3 linked regions of the Oryctolagus cuniculus genome follow. The protein of the gene in region 3 interacts with the protein of the main gene of each other region in a biochemical or structural test. Links are inferred from orthologs where the notes say so. Each region holds a gene or a part of one and is shown on either strand. Other genes may lie near its edges.

Region 1 (5,085 bases), on a different chromosome or scaffold from region 3:
CCTTAATGCCTCATCCTGAGTCAGTGTCAGGACGAACAGAGGCCGGGAGGAAGGTGAGGGGCCTGCAGCTCCTGCCATGTGACCACTGCTCTTCCCAGCAGGCGGGGGAAGCTGGGAGGAGACTTGCGACAGCGCTGTGGGCAGTCAGGGGGCCAGGAATGGGTGAGGATCAGCTGTGTCGACGCAGCTGTAGCACATTCTCCAGCTTTTTCTCCATGGCCTTGAAGCCCCCGGGCAGAGGGTCTCAGGCAGCAGTCTTAGGGACCTCTTCCATGTCATCGGGCTGTCTTCTCGCAGGAGTCTGTCATTTCTTACCACTTGCCTGGTCCCTGCGCCCTCAAGGACAACCCATCACTATTGCCCCAAACCACCTCTCTCTCTGTCTTCAGCCAGCTCCTCCCTGTGCCCCTCTCGGGCTGGCTGCTGCTTGCAGCACCTACGATGTGTTAACCACGGCGAGCGATCAGCCCAGCAAGCGCAGAGGCCGGCTTCTCCCAGGTCATGGGTTAGGAGATGAATGTCTAGGGAAATGAGGCAACTGGCCCAAGCCACACAGCTTTTGAGCGGAGGAATCAGGTCCAACCCTGGGTCCTCCTGACTCGGAAGGCAGCAGAGAGCAGCTCTCAGCCTGACTGGCCCTGGGGCCCAGGAAAGCTGGTAGAGGTCATTCAGCCGGCCCGTGGGTTCTGTCTGCGGAGGGCACTTTGGAAGCGCCCCAGGAGTCTTGCAGGTGCAGCCAGGGCTGAGAATCAGTATGCAGGAGACTCCAGGACGGTGAGTGCCTCGTCCACGACCCTGCACTTAGCACGGCGCCGGGTTGGAAGTAAATGCTTGTTGAATGACTGACTGTACGGAGGAATGGTTGCCTAATTCACACTTCCCAGAGGCTCCACAATTCTCCCCTCGCCCAGACCCGAGGCTTGCTCACCACAGGAGTGAGCAGCCGGCTCCCTGACTTCTCTCTTCCTCAGCCTCCTCCACACGGGAGGTGAGAGGAGCAGCCTTCCCAGCCTTCACCTTTGGCTGTTCAAATCTCAGGACACAGTTGCCAAGCTTTAGCCTGCTACTCAAGACCCCCAGCAACCTGGTCCCACTCTGTGCTGGCTCGCAACCACACCTCCCTCAGAACTCTGCCGGCAGGTGGCTGACCTGTCTCGCACATTCCTACGGCAGGATTTTGGACAGCACGGCCCGCCCTCTTCTCCACCGTGAGGACCCAGTTCCTCCACCTTGTCTGGACCTTCATTCCAGCTCCCACGGATCCCTTCCAGCTCTGAACAACTAGACTAAGCCTCCTCCTTGGCTCTGCTCTTACCTGGCTCCTCACCGTCATGTCAATGTGCGCCAATAGGACCATAATTTCCCAGCTGCATTAAGATCACTGGCGGGCAGCAACTGTTCACACGCGCTCCTATCTCGCCCTGGGTGACGGCCACCACCGGGCCCCTCACGGCCCCTGTCATCTTGGTGCGGTCTTACCTGTAATACCGGGACTGCAGGTAGGTGGAGCACACGGCCTTGGACACGTGACTGGCTGACCCAAAGTCGATGACCTTCACCCTGTACGGCTGCCTGGACGGATCCACCAGCATGATGTTCTCCGGTTTGAGGTCAGCGTGGATGAGCCCGAGGCTCTTGAGCTTCATCAGGGCCGTGGCTACCTGCTGGAGGACCGGGCGGATGTATTTCAGGGGCAAGGGGCTGAACTTGTTCTGCTTCAGAAAGTCATAGAGGTTCTGCTCCAGCATCTCGAAGACCAAGCAGGTGTGATTCTTGTGCTGGAAGCACTCGTAGGCCCGCACGAAGTTGTAGTCGTCGGCACTCTCTGTGCTCAGCCGGGCCAGGATGCTCACTTCAATCTGGCCCTGTCGGGCATAGGACGGGTGGTTCTTGAGGATCTTGATGGCTACGATTTCATTGGTGCCCCGCTTCCAGCACTTGACCACTTGCCCGAACGTCCCTCGGCCCAGGAACTCCAACACCTCGTAAGTGTTGGTCATGGAGCACAGCACTTCATGCTGGACCAGCTGGTAGTCACCCTCGCTGTTGGAGCCGCTGTTCTTGGAGGTGGCAGTGGACGTGGTGGCAGTGGCGACCGTGGCCCCGCTGGCATTATTCTGAATCATGGGTGGATGCTCTTCGATGATCTGCACGCTGCTCGTGTTCTCGATCTCCTCGCTCTTACGCTTGAGTCCGCATTTCTGGTAGGTGTCAAGGAGGCTGACGGTGCTGCGCCGCATCAGGTTATGTGGTCCGCCGAGGACGGGCCCAGGGACAGACGTGCTGCTTGCGGACGTGACCACTATGTGCCCGGTGCTTCCTGGGAAGATGATGGTCTGCTCGTAAGGTAGGCTGGGGTTTGGGATTGGCAAGGAGGTGCTGACGGTTGTGGTGGCTGGCTGAGAAGGTGCTGTGTTCTTGCTCTGGCTGTACACTCTGCTGTGGGAGCCGTACCCAGTCATGTCCCAGCTGGAACTCGGCTCTACTTTGAGTTTCTTCACACTACAGAAGGCACTTGATTGGAGGGTGTGAGGGGAGAAAACTTGCACATGTGAGGCCATACCTGTGAGGAGAGAAGAGGAGAAATAAATTCTGAGCCACCTCTGCATGAATAAACCCCAGAGATCCGCTGCAGCTCTGAGATGGCCTGGAGTCAACAGCATTTCCCTCCCACTTCAAAATAAGGCCGGGAACAGGAATCTACTGCACTCAGAAGCGGACCTGTTACTCAGTGTGTGGGTCACCCTGCCACCAGCAGGGGGAAGGAGGCTTGGAACACAGAATGAGAACAGGGACTCCACTCATCTTTTTAAATATCAATAGTGTTTGTGAAAGAAACTGCTATCAGGTGGCCCCTGGTTAACTGTTACAAGCTTAGCTACTCCATGTGGTCAGCCAGCTCAGTTCTGTCAACAGGCCCCAGCGGTCAGGTGGCCCCGTGGGGGGCTCCTCTGGTCTTCTGGCTGAACAAGTGCTGCCTGGCATCTGAGCCGTCTTAACCAAATTCTGCAGGGCTCTATCACAGTTGTTCCCAGAGCAACTGTCCAGCTTAGCAGTTGACGCCCGCGTCCCCAACCTGGGTTCAACACCCACCTGCAGCTTCCAACTTCAGCTCCCTGTTGGTGCACCCCCCAGGGGGCGGTGGTTCTGGCCCACCCACGTAAGGGACCTGACCTGAGTTCCTGGCTCCCGGGTTTGGCCTGGCCCAGCCCTGATGGTTCCAGGCATCTGGGGAGTGAACCATCAGACTGGAGCTTCCTTTCTCTCTCTCTGCCTCTCAAGTTTAAAAAAAGAAAAATTATAAATAAAAGAGTCTGACATTTTCATTTAGATTGACTAAAACATGATTATCAGCCTCTTCGCCGGGGAGTGGGAAGCACAGATTATGGACTCGATTCACTCATTTTCCATGCTAAATTCTTACATCGATAAATTTTTCTAGAAAGTACTACTATTTCATATTAGCACTTTGCCCACAATTTAGCTAACTTCAGAAATTTGTAAGATGATTGCTTGGGAAGAGTTGTACAATTTATAATCACGGCGATACCGGAAACATAAAAACCCACAGAAAAGAAATTAAGGAAAAATAACAAGGAGATGAGGAAGGGTAAGCCTTACAGAAAAAAGTAGCTGCAGTGGGTAAAGGCTTCTTCGAGGAGCAGAGCGGGCGCAGCTTCGCCAGACACTGCTGGGGCTCAGCCACCCGGCGCCCGTGCGTCTGGGAGCGCTCGGCCTCAGGCGGAGTGGGTGGTCCACACCTTCCTCTTCACCCCGTCTCAGCACCCACCCTTCACTTTGCTCCCAAGCTGGAGGCCCGCCTTACTCTGCTCTCCTGCCTGGTTCTCTCACGACTCTCCATCCCCCGGCCCCTCTCCCCCGTCTCAGAGGAAGGGGTGTCTGTCCTCCAACATGGAAACTGCCCTTTCTGGAGGCCCACGGTCCCCCGTTTCCTCTCGAACTCTGTGTCCAGCACTTTCCCTTGCAGCTTTCAGTTTCCCTGCTTAACTGGAGCCAGTCCTTAGCAGACACTTCCTGCAGGTCGGCCAGTCCTGCTGTGCACACACAGACTCCCAGCTGGAGGGCAGGAGGAGCGACGGCCGCCCCCCACTCTCCCCTTCTTCTCCCCGTAATCCGCGCTTGACCCTCCCTTTTCTTAAGTGTTCACTTAGTAATCTTCCCATTCACTTTCAAACACTATACGACTGTAATTTTTTAATAAAGATTTGCTTATTTATTTGAGAGTCAGAGTTACACAGAGAGAGGAAGAGACAGCGAGAGAGAGATGGTCCATCCATTGGTTCACTCCCCAAATGGCCAGACTGAAATCAGGAGCCAGGAGCTTCTTCTGGGTCTCCCACGTGGGTGCAGGGCCCAAACGCTTGGGCCGTCTTCCACTGCTTTCCCAGGGCATTAGCAGGGAGCTGGAATAGAAGTGGAGCGGCCGGGGCTTGAACCAGCGCCCAGATGGGATGCCAGCATTGCAGGCAGCAGCCTTACCCACTACACCCAACGCTGGCCCGAGGCCTGCACTCTTAGAGGTAGATGACTTTCTAGCAGACCAATCCACTGGCCGTTTCAGCCTCTATCATTGTCTCTGTGACATCTGACACTGCAACCACGACTTCCTTCTAGAAGCTCTTATCAGGATTCTCTGCAATCTCTTCCTCCCACTGTGCTTGGGGGTGGGGGCGGTTCCTCTTCCTCTTCTTCCTGTAAAGTGTTTGCATTTACCACATTTGGACTCTCTTCTCCCGGCAATACACCACCCATCCAAACAGTTTAAGCCATCATCTCCACGCAGGCAACTCCCACGTATTTATCACAGGTTGGGTTCTCCCTCATAGTTCCAGCGATACAGTTTTGCCTCCCACTACGTAAAAATGATCTTCCCCAGTGACCTCCTTATCCTTTCCTAAAAATCCAGCCACCTCACCCTCCTTCCTGACACCTCCATATCTGTTCATAAAATATTCTACTGGCCGTTTGGTTCCCAGACCTTGGAGGATTCTTTTCCTCCATGAACAGGAAGATATGAGGCACTCATAATCTCTCCTCCTCCAACATGTCTCCTGCACCCAACTC
Region 2 (4,681 bases), on a different chromosome or scaffold from region 3:
TGTGAGCCCTGAAGGTCATCTCTGAGGGTGGCCCAGCTCTGGGCCTCGAGTGATCTCAACCAGTGCACAGAGCCCTTGGGCGCCTCTGAGGGCGGGCAGACCTACCTCTGACGGGGTGAGGCTGGGCCGTCCACAGCGTCCAGGTGGATGAGGGGCTCATGCTGGAGCCAGCCTTGGCCACTGGTGGCCCAGGACTTGGTGGGGGCGGGGGCCAGAACTCTGAGGTTTGGGGATGGACTCACCATCGTGTGGGCAGCTCCCAGGTGCTGTGGTGAGGACATACCACCATGGCCACGCCCAGGGCTTGCGGGCGTTCGCCTCCATTCCAGCCCACACTGGGGCCGCAGTGCTGCCCCGCCGTAAGCAGCCACACTTCCAAGGCACAGCAGCAGCGGACGCCTGCCGTGGCGTCACCAGTGGGAACGAGATGTAGCTGGCTGCTTGTGCTCCCAGTCTGGTGAAGAATTACCTGCACAAGAGACTGAGTGCATAGGTGAAGAGAAAAATGAAATGTGATTGCTCTGAAGGGCAAAAATTTTATTATTATTTAGCCGATTTTTTTTTTATGGTAAAAAATTTATTTGAAAGGGAGAGAACAAAAGGGAGATCTTCCATCCATTGGTTCACTTTCCAAATGGCTGCAACAGCCAAGGCCAGGCCAGGCCAGGCCAAAGCCAGGAGCTTCATCTGGGTCTTCCATATGGGTGGCAGGGACACCAAGCACTTGGGCCATCTTGCGCTGCTTTTCCTAGGTCCATTAGTAGGGAGCTGGATTGAGAGTGGAGCAGCCAGGACACAGTCTTGAGCCCATACAGGATGCTGGTGTCGCAGGTGGCAGCTTAACCCAGTGCACCATAATGCTGGCCCCTACTTTTTTTAAGATTATTTATTTTTAAAGAATTACAGAGAGGGAACGACACAAAGTGATCTTCTATCCACTGGTTGATTATTTATTTTGAAAGAGTTACACAGAGAGGGAGAGACACTGAGATCAGTCTCTCCATTGGTTCACTCCCCAGATGTTTGCAAGGGCCCCAAGCCTGAGCCAGACCAAAGCCAAGAGCCAGAAGCTTCATCCAGGTTTCCCATATGGGTGGCAGGGGCCTACATAGTTGGGCCATCTTCTCATGCCTTCCTGGTTGCATTAGCAGGTAGCTAGATTCAAAGTGGAGCAGCCGGGATTCAAGACAGCACCCATGTGAGATGCTGGCTGGCCTCACAGGTGGCTACTTTACCCACTGTGTCACAATGCTGGGCCCCCAGCCATACTCTCCCTAAATGTTAAGCAGTGAACACGTTGAATAATATCTTTTGAAAATAGACTTTGTGTTTGAGAGATTTAAGGCTTTTAGAAAAATTGAACAGAGAATTCCAGCAAAACCGGCGCACCTCCCATTAGTGGGGTGCATCTGTTGCATTTAACTGAAGTTCAGACTTTATTCAGATTTCCCCAGTAAACCTTTTCTGTCCCAGGGTGCCAGCGAAGCCACATAACTTTGTCATGCCCCTTCAGCACATCTTGGCACCCACAGTGTCTCTTGTGGGTCTGCATTCTCCTGCTAAAAACCACGCTGTCAGCACCAGGGCCGCCTGCCTTTCCCGTCGTGAGGTGTAAAGTTGTCTGCAGGACAGGAACACTGAACTGAGAAGCACGACCCTCTCATTTACCTGCAGCCACCAACTGCAGTCCAAGCAGGCCTGGCAGGGGGTAGCCGGGTCCGGGAGGCAGTCCTGCGTCCCTAGGGCCACTAGTATCTTTCATGTGCGTCTCACAAAAAAACACCGTGGGTGTTTGGAGCCCTTCTCAAGGCAAAGAACAAGATGTCGTGCCTGTGAGATGTGACACGGAACTCCGAGTGTCCAGTAGAATAGTGAGGCATCATGGGAAACGGCTTCCACGGGCCCTCGCTCCTCAGGTTTCTGAGCTGGTGTGCTGGGTCTGCAGGGGCAGGCCAGGCTCCGCTTCCGTCCTTGCCGCTCTCTCCTCTCTCTTCCTAAGGACGCTGCGTGTTCAGGGCCCGTGTGCTGGTGGGGTCGGCTGCAGGCCCCTGCGAGGCTGGGCGGCCTGACGTGACGGCTCTGCGTGTGTTGCAGGGCAGTCAGGGCGACAGCAAGAACGCCAAGAAGAAGAACAACAAGAAAACCAACAAGAATAAGAGCAGCATCAGCCGTGCCAACAAGAAGAAACCCAGCGTGCCCAGCGTGTCCAACGACCTGTCCCAGAAGCTGTATGCCACCATGGAGAAGCATAAGGAGGTAGAGCTGCCAGCACAGGGGGTGGCACGGGACACGTGTGCTTGGCAGCCGGAGCTTGTGGGTTTGGTGATGCCGCGCCATGGTGTGCCGGTGGCGGGTGGGCTGTGCGCTCTCCGGGGCTAATGCTGCTCCTCTCCCCAGGTCTTCTTTGTGATCCACCTGCACGCAGGGCCTGTTATCAACACCCTGCCCCCCATCGTCGACCCAGACCCGCTGCTCAGCTGTGACCTCATGGACGGGCGCGACGCCTTCCTCACGCTGGCCAGGGACAAGCACTGGGAGTTCTCCTCACTGCGCCGCTCCAAGTGGTCCACGCTGTGCATGCTGGTGGAGCTGCACACCCAGGGCCAGGACCGCTTTGTCTACACCTGTAACGAGTGCAAGCACCACGTGGAGACACGCTGGCACTGCACGGTGTGCGAGGTGGGTCTGCCCGGCAGCCAGGGCCAGGATCTGGCAGGGCTGTCGTGGGTTTGGATGTGGCCTTGGCATCTCTGTGCAGTGGCATTGGTGCTGGCTCAGGGTGAGGAGAGGAGCACGAGGCCGAAGGCTTTGTTGCTTTCTCCCTGGTGTTTCTGTGTCGGGCGCAGACCGTGCAGTGCTGAGGAAGCCTGCCTGGAGAGCCGGAGGGAGGCTCAGGGCAGACAGGCACAGACACCTGCTCCTGCTCCCGCGTGCTCCGGGGCTGGTCTAGCTGAGGATTTCGGATGCCCTCGACCCTTTGTTGTCCCGGCCCCTCACTGTTCCTAATGGGCCCCGTACACGTCTCACAGGCCTTCCTCTGCAGGTTTGGGCCTTGATGTGGAGTCGCCCGCGGGTGGGTTGTTGGGCACAGTGTGACCCTTCGCCTCTTCCACAGGGCAAGTCGTCGGGCCTGCCCTTGACCCCTCCTTCCTCCCAGGACAGTCCGTAGTCACCGCCGACCAGGGCTGCTTGCTCTGCGCTCTGCCACAGGCGGTCGCCATGCATGTCCCAGACCTCTCTGCTCCCCTCCGCTGCCTGCCTTCTTTCCCCCAGCCTCCTGCAGGCTCTTTGTCCTCCTTTTTGGGTGTTTTTTTGTAAGATTTGTTCACCTACTTGAAAGGCAGACCTGAGAGGGGACATCTTCCATCCGCTGGTTCACCCCTCAAATGTTGCAGCAGCCGGGGCTGCTCCAGGTGCAGCCAGGACCCAGGAATCCAGGTCTCATGTTGGGGGCAGGGATGCTTGGGCAATCTGCTGCTACTTCCCCAGGCACCTGAGCAAGCAGAGATCATCAGACCCGGGCCGACACGGGATGCTGACGTCGCCGGTGGCCACTCTCCGTGCTTGGCTGCAGCACTGCCCCCACTCCTGAGCCCTCACTGCTGTCGTGTTCTTCCGGGGCTCACCATTAGTCGGCCTGGGCGCAGGGCTCCGATGTGGGGGACGTGTGTCTGCCTCCTGCTTTCCAGCTGTAGGCAGCTCTGTCCCCAGGACTTGCTTCTTGGGAAAGCCTGTGTGGTGCCTTCCCCTGGGGAGATGCCCATGGTATCTGCTGGCCCTTGGGTGGCACCTCTCGCCCTCACACTGTTGGCCTTCGTGGCTGGGTGTGGCAGAGTCCTGATGCGATTGCGGGAGAGAGAGGAGGGAGGGGAGCCAGCGTCCCTGCCTGGGTCCTCGGGCAGACGGTCCTGTGTGTTAGCGTGCACGCCCCCAGCCCGAGGGGGCGGCCTTGCTGACCACTCTCTTTGCTTGCAGGACTATGACCTGTGCATCAACTGCTACAACACGAAGAGCCACACGCACAAGATGGTGAAGTGGGGGCTGGGCCTGGACGACGAGGGCAGCAGCCAGGGCGAGCCGCAGTCCAAGAGCCCCCAGGAGTCGCGGCGCCTGAGCATCCAGCGCTGCATCCAGTCCCTGGTGCACGCCTGCCAGTGCCGCAACGCCAACTGCTCGCTGCCGTCCTGCCAGAAGATGAAGCGGGTGGTGCAGCACACCAAGGGCTGCAAGCGGAAGACCAACGGCGGCTGCCCGGTGTGCAAGCAGCTCATCGCCCTGTGCTGCTACCACGCCAAGCACTGCCAGGAGAACAAGTGCCCCGTGCCCTTCTGCCTCAACATCAAACACAAGCTTCGCCAGCAGCAGATCCAGCACCGGCTGCAGCAGGCCCAGCTCATGCGCCGGCGGATGGCCACCATGAACACCCGCAACGTGCCTCAGCAGAGTTTGCCTTCTCCTACCTCAGCTCCGCCCGGGACCCCCACGCAGCAGCCCGGCACGCCCCAGACGCCGCAGCCCCCTGCCCAGCCCCAGCCTTCACCCGTGAGCATGTCACCAGCCGGCTTCCCCAGTGTGGCCCGGACTCAGCCCCCCACGACTGTGTCCGCAGGGAAGCCCACCAACCAGGTGCCGGCTGCCCCGCCCCCTGCCCAGCCCCCACCCGCGGCGGTGGAGGCTGCCC
Region 3 (6,362 bases):
GTTGCAAGCATTTGGGGAGAGAATTAGGAGATGGAAGATCTCTCTCTCCCTCTCTCATGAATAAATTAAAAAAATAATTATGCAAAGGCACATGCACACGGCCCGAATCCGTGCCGTCGACGCAGGCGGCGAGGAGTGGAGGCACACACGGTGTTCATTACTGCTCGGCCCGCGCACAGAGAGCAAGGCGCTGCAGACACAGAAGCAGGCAGGAAGCCGAGCTGCGTGAGGGGTGCGTGGGGCCTGGCCGCTTCTCGGGTGGGGGTTTCCCTGGGGGGGGGGTGGAAACATTCCAGAAGCACACAGATGGCATGGCTCTACAGGCTTGTGAGTGCACGCAGTGGTAAGTTCCAGGCTACATGGATTCCACCACCATTTTTTTTTTTCGAGATTTTATTTATGTATCTGAGAGGTAGAGTTACAGACAGAGGGAGAGACAGGGGCAGCCAGGACTAGAACCGGCGCCCACAGGGGATGCCGGCGCTGCAGGCACTGGCCCCACACCACACTTTTCAAATTATGGCGGAAAACGCAGGCAACCTGCTCTCATTATTGCCATCTGAGGCTCACGGAAAGGGGGCGCCGTGGAGGCGACACATGGGATGGGGCTGGGGGCCCCGGCCAGGTGAGGAGCCAGGGTCTCCTAACGGAAACTCCCGTCCCTGTCAGCTTTCCTGGGCCCCCGAGCCTGTCCGCCTGACCCCCGGCCTCTGCAGGAAACTGCTGAGCGTGGAGGGCTGGTACGTGGGGGTGCTCCCGGGCCAGTGCCCCCTGCCAGCTGCCTGGGGTGGTGGTCGCTAGCTCACGGCTGTTTTTTTTTTTTTTTAAGATATTTTTTGTTTCTTTGAAAGTCAAAGTTACTGGCAGCGGGCAGAGGTCTTCCATCTGCTGCTTCACTCCCCAGAAGTCGCCACAGCCAGCACCGGGCCAGGCCAAAGCCAGGAGTCAGGAGCCCCGTCAGGTCTCCCACATGGACTCAGGGGCACCAGGACTTGGGCCACCCTCCACTGCCTTCCCAGGCCACAGCAGAGAGCTGGATGGGAAGTGGAGCAGCCGGGACAGGAAACAGCGCCCATACGGGATGCCAGCGCCGCAGGTGGCGGCTTTACCGGCTGTGCCACAACACCAGCCACAACACCAGGCTGCTCTGAGCTTTAAACAGTCTGTCTTAATGTCTGTTTCTCTGTTCCACTTCTGTGCCGTCACAACAGGCAGAGGGAGGCAGAGGAAGGAGACCACGAGCCGCTGCTTGCCCCTGCTCTCCTGGTCGGGGGACTCTCGGGGTCCTCCCGGGGGTCTGTCTTCCACCTTGGGCCCACAGTCCCAACACAAGCAACCAAGCCAGCCCGTTCTAGCGGGTGGAGCCAGAACCCAACTTCCGCCTCCTAAGGCAGGCACGCAGCTCCTGCCGCCTGGGGCCGCCCGCCGGTGCCTGCCTTGCCCGCCCTTGCGCGCGCTCAGTCACCCGCAGCCACCTGCAGGCAAAGCAAGAGGCCTTGCAAAGACAGCCCCGCCTGCGGCTGCCAGCTCAGCCTGCATCAGCTCCCGCCAGAGGCCAGAGGCCATCTCAGCCCGCGCCTGCCCCCGAGACGGCCGCTCGCCCAGCAGCAGCAAGGGAGAAAGACAGCCGAGCAGGGGCACCCAGGCCCGCCCTTCCCGTTACTGCTCGATGGCGCTTCCTGGCAGATCTGTCCACCTGAGCCTGCAGGGGCAGGGAGCCGGCACGTGACGCACACCACGCACTGGCCAAGAGCGATCCCAACACTGCGGCCCCGACCGGACACAAGGCTGGAGGAGGGCCCAGGGCACTGCATGTGTGTATGGGACCATGAGAGTGGGTGCGGAAACAGGGAGGGAGAACCAGTCTCTGCTGTCTGCTTGCTCGCAGGGACCTGAGGAGCTGCCAGAGGGTACAGATAAAACGACTAAAGAGAGGAAGAGGGGCACGGGCACAAGTGGGGGCCGGGTGGGTGACACCCGGGGTCCACGGTCTCATTGCTGACCACGCGATCGTATCAAAAACAAAACAGGGAGCTGGCGTCACGGCACAGATGGCTGAACACCCGGCATCCCGTATGGGCGCTGGTTCAAGTCCCGGCTGCTCCACTTCCTGATGCAGCTCTCTGCTGTGGCCCGGGAAGGCAGTGGAGGATGGCCCAAGTGCTTGGGCCCTGCACCCCATGGGAGACCAGGAAGAAGCTCCTGGCATCAGCCTGGCCCAGCCCTGGCTGTTGTGGCCATTTGGGGAGTGAACCAGTGGATGGAAGATTTCTCTGTCTCTCCCTCTCTTTCTCTCTCTCTCTCTGTTGCTCTGCCTTTCAAATAAATAAATCTTTAAAATAAATACCTTAAAGAATAAATAAAATGCCCTCTTTCCCTACTTTTGAAATGGTGCACACAGGGCTGCAGGACCAAGGTGCTCAAGGGTTTGCCTTTTGCCCCATCCCCAAGTAACCAGGTGGGGCCAGGGTCCACCACAGCCCTCTCTGGGCCTTCCTTCAGCCTCTGTGAAGGGGGCAGTTAAGAGTCTACCCTCTCTGCTCGCTCTAAAACTTTCAGATGCCAGGCGCTTCCTCCTCCTCCAGGAAGCCTCTCCAGATTGCCTCAGCCGATAGCCCTGACCCTGCCTGCCGACCAGAAGACCTGCCCTCCTCGGAGGACTGGCCAGCCCCAGGCTGGCACGGCTAGCTCCGGTCCAGCCACCTGCTGTGCCTCCCTGCAGGCCTTCAGCAAACCTGAGTGCCAGGCTGGGAGGACCGAAGGCCATTTCCTGCACAGGGGACGAGTCCCAGGGCCGCTGGGGCCTTCCCATCAGGTAGGGGCGTTTGTGTGGGGGCAACTGAGATGTAGAGGCTTCCCGTGCCCGGAGGTGCAGGTGTGCAGGGCAGGGGGGTACCTCCAGACTCCGCAGAGGGAGGAGCAGGGGGCCGGCCAGCCCCCAGAGGCCCCGGAATCAGCCGGGAGACTCCAGCTGCTGGGACAGAGACAGGACACCTGCCCCACTCTGAATGTCCCCAAGAGCCACGTGTGGGGGAAGAGGAGGAGGAGGGTCTGAGTCTGCGTAGGGGACCCCAGGAGAAGGCTCCCATGTGGAGGTGGGGTGGGGGGGCACCTGCCCCCTGTGTCGGGGTGTGGCCCTGGCCACTTCCTGCTCCACCTGTTCTACACACACAGCTCTCAGTTCGTCGGGGTGCACCCCCGGCCACCAGGTGGGACCCACGGCAGCCCCGAGGGCCCCTGAGCAGCAGACCCCTGTGTAAGGGCTTCCCGGGAAGCACCACCCCTCCCACACACAGCCCCTCCCTCCGCAGACACGGGGCCAGCGGCCTCCCGCCCGCCAGACCGCGGGCCCCTCACCAGGTCCACGTGCGGCAGGTCGCCGGGGGTACTGGCAGACTGCGGGCTGGTTCTCCTGGACAGAATTGCGTCTGGGGACACAGAGAAGATCATGGGCAGGTGAGGGGCACCTCGGGCTGGGGCAGACAGAGGACGTGTCTGGTGCTCTTTCCAGACACTTATCCGTCTCCCCGGCACCTCCACGGAGGCAACCCTCCCGACCGCAGTGGGCACGAGCGCAGGCCCAGGGAGCCGGCGTCACAGTGCACCTGCCTGTGGCTTGGAACCCCAAGGGCACCCCTGCCCGTCTCCGGGCCGTCAGCAGGGCAGAGGGTGGGCGGCCCTGAAGCCGCTGGTACTCACGGCTCTGCACTGCCCAGCAGCCGGTGGACAAAACCCAACCACGATCCCTTGGGCTTCGAAGAGTGAAGCCTGCTCCCCGCCACCGCCCAGCCACAATGCCAGGCAGCTGTCCAAACCCTGTGGGGTCACTTCCTGGACATGGGGCTGTCCGCTCCTTGCCTGGGTGGTGGGGGCACAAGCCCATGTCCTCCCGTCGGCTCCGGCAGAAGAGAGCGAGCCCTCGTGCCCTGGCACCTGCCTGGGTGCCTCCAGAGCCCGCAGCCTCTCTTCTCTTCCCCTCCCCCAGCTGCTCGGGCTCACGTCCAGCTCAGGACTCAGTCAAAGAGCCCTGGGACCCCTCGTGCAGTCCCCCTGCCCCCCGCCTTCCTCCCCACGGGAGTCTCAGGCTCATGGAGCTGCTGCGGTGACAATTCCTCCCCAAAGCCACGGCACCCAGCCGCCCAGGGAGGTTCGCTCTGCTCCCTTCTGCCCTGACCCCAACCACAGGGGTCCTCTCTGCTCTTGCACACAGGGGGGCTGGCCCCTCAAGGGCTAACATGAGCCGTGCCCTGACCAAACCCCAGGGGGCTGCGGCGAGGGTGGCCCTGGTGCTCACCTGTGGCCTGGGTGACGCGCGCCACGAGGTCCTGCAGGCGCACCTTGAACTCGTCAAAGCCCTCAGCGCGCACGGCGGCCTGCGGGCCCTGGGGCTCCTCCTGGCGCAAGCGGCAGAGAGCCTCGTGCAGGAAGCCATGCATGTCCAGCACCTCCTGGTCCGACGCGTAGTGCTTCATCCTCCGCACGAGCGCGCCGCCCGTGCGCATGCGCTGCAGCACGGCTTCCAGGCGGCTCAGCCGGGCCGCCAGCTCCTCATAGTCGCGCTGGTAGCACGCGTGCACCTGCTGCAGCAGCTCGCGCTCCTGCGCCTGCACGTGTGCCACCACCTGGCGCACGCGCTCGCGGATCAGGTCCTCGGCGTCGGCGCGCGCGCGGCCCAGCTGCCCGATGGCCGCGCGCACCTGCGCGAGCGCAGCCCCGAAGGCGCCGCCGCGCTCCCGCAGCGCGCGCGCCGTGGCGTCCAGCTCGTCCTGGCGCTGCAGCACCTCGGCGCTCAGGTCGCACTTGAGGTCGCTGTGGCCGCTGTCCAGGAGCGCACACGAGCAGCACAGGGGCTTGTGGCAGCCCCGGCAGTAGATGCTGCGGGAGAACCGTCTGGGTTAGGGCTCGCCGGCTTCTTCCCAAACTGCCAGACCCCACTGGCGTTTGGCGCACCTGTTGGGACCCACCTCACCCCCTACATCCCATATCCGAGTGCCCGAGTCCCAGTCCCAACTCCGCTCCCATCCAGCTTCCTGCTGAGGCGCACCCTTGGAGGTCGCAGGGGCAGGCTCAGGTCATCGGGTCCCTGCCCCCCACGGGGGTATCCGGGCAGTTTGCAGCCCTGGCTGTTTAAGGGCTTTTGGAAGCAGACGGAAGATCCTCCCCCCGTCTGCCTGTCTCTCTGCCATTCAGATGAAAAAAAAAATCCCCTAGATAAAAGTGCCAGAGTTTGAGTCATAGTAGGTGTGCAGGTTCACGCTTTCCCGACGCAGCGTTCATGGCGCTGGTGCCAGGGCCCAGAGCAGCACACGAGAGTAAAGCTGCGGCGGCCTGTGCCTCCAGCTGCAGGACGCGGAGAATGCGTACAAAAGGAATTCGCGGAATTGATGTTTCCTTTATAAAATAAACTTATTTTTAAGGGTTTATTTATCTGAAAGGCAGAGCAGTAGAGGGAGAGAGAGAGGTCTTCCATCTGCTGGTTCACTTCCCAGATGGCCGCAATGCCCAGGGCTGGGCAGGCCGAAGCCGGGAGCCAGGAGCTTCCCCTGTGCTTCCCAGCCCCCCAGGGCCCCTCCCCCATCTTCACTCTCCCCCTACCCCCACTCCCCGCTGAAAAACCTCCAAAAATCATTTGTTCTCAAGAACAAAGTGTTTTCAAACTACCAGGGTCACTGACGTCTCAATAGGCGGGGAGTCTCCACGTGAACCAACACGCCAACCCCGCCCCCTGGTGAGGTGCAGGGACCCGGGGCAGCCTGACGCCCCCTGCCCCCCGCTGGTGAGGTGCAGGGACCCCAGGGGCAGCCTGACGCCCCCTGCCCCCCAGTGAGGTGCAGGGACCCCTGGGCAGCCTGATGCCCCCTGCCCCCCGGTGAGGTGCAGGGACCCCAGGGCAGCCTGACGCCCCCCACCCCCCGATGGTGAGGTGCAGGGACCCCGGGGCAGCCTGATGCCCCCTGCCCCCCACTGGTGAGGTACAGGGACCCCAGGGGCAGCCTGACGACCCCTGCCCCCCACTGGTGAGGTACAGGGACCCCAGGGCAGCCTGACGCCCCCCACCCCCCGATGGTGAGGTACAGGGACCCCAGGGGCAGCCTGACGACCCCTGCCCCCCACTGGTGAGGTACAGGGACCCCAGGGGCAGCCTGACGCCCCCCGCCCCCCACCCCCCGATGGTGAGGTACAGGGACCCCGGGGCAGCCTGACGCCCCCTGCCCCCTGCTGGTGAGGTGCAGGGACCCCAGGGGCAGCCTGACGCCCCCCGCCCCCCACCCCCCGCTGTTGAGGTGCAGGGACCCCAGGGGCAGCCTGACGCCCCCCGCCCCCCACCCCCCGATGGTGAGGTACAGGGACCCCAGGGGCAG

The links. The genes of interacting proteins can lie anywhere in the genome.
Region 1: of the proteins of PML (region 3) and HIPK2, one has a biochemical effect on the other in vitro, tested with the Homo sapiens proteins (2 studies listed by BioGRID). The link is inferred for Oryctolagus cuniculus from reciprocal best matches to the Homo sapiens genes PML and HIPK2.
Region 2: the proteins of PML (region 3) and CREBBP form a complex in vitro, tested with the Homo sapiens proteins (2 studies listed by BioGRID). The link is inferred for Oryctolagus cuniculus from reciprocal best matches to the Homo sapiens genes PML and CREBBP.

What each region holds. Positions count from the first base shown.
Region 1 is NC_091434.1:184,332,750-184,337,834, reverse strand, and holds part of HIPK2 (homeodomain-interacting protein kinase 2), read right to left. Parts: intron 2,564-5,085; coding exon 1,480-2,563; intron 1-1,479.
Region 2 is NC_091450.1:31,795,392-31,800,072, forward strand, and holds part of CREBBP (CREB-binding protein), read left to right. Parts: intron 1-2,094; coding exon 2,095-2,256; intron 2,257-2,397; coding exon 2,398-2,679; intron 2,680-3,975; coding exon 3,976-4,681. UniProt on the Homo sapiens protein: Acetylates histones, giving a specific tag for transcriptional activation. Mediates acetylation of histone H3 at 'Lys-18' and 'Lys-27' (H3K18ac and H3K27ac, respectively).
Region 3 is NC_091443.1:109,460,968-109,467,329, forward strand, and holds part of PML (protein PML), read right to left. Parts: intron 4,876-6,362; coding exon 4,295-4,875; intron 3,429-4,294; coding exon 3,358-3,428; intron 1-3,357.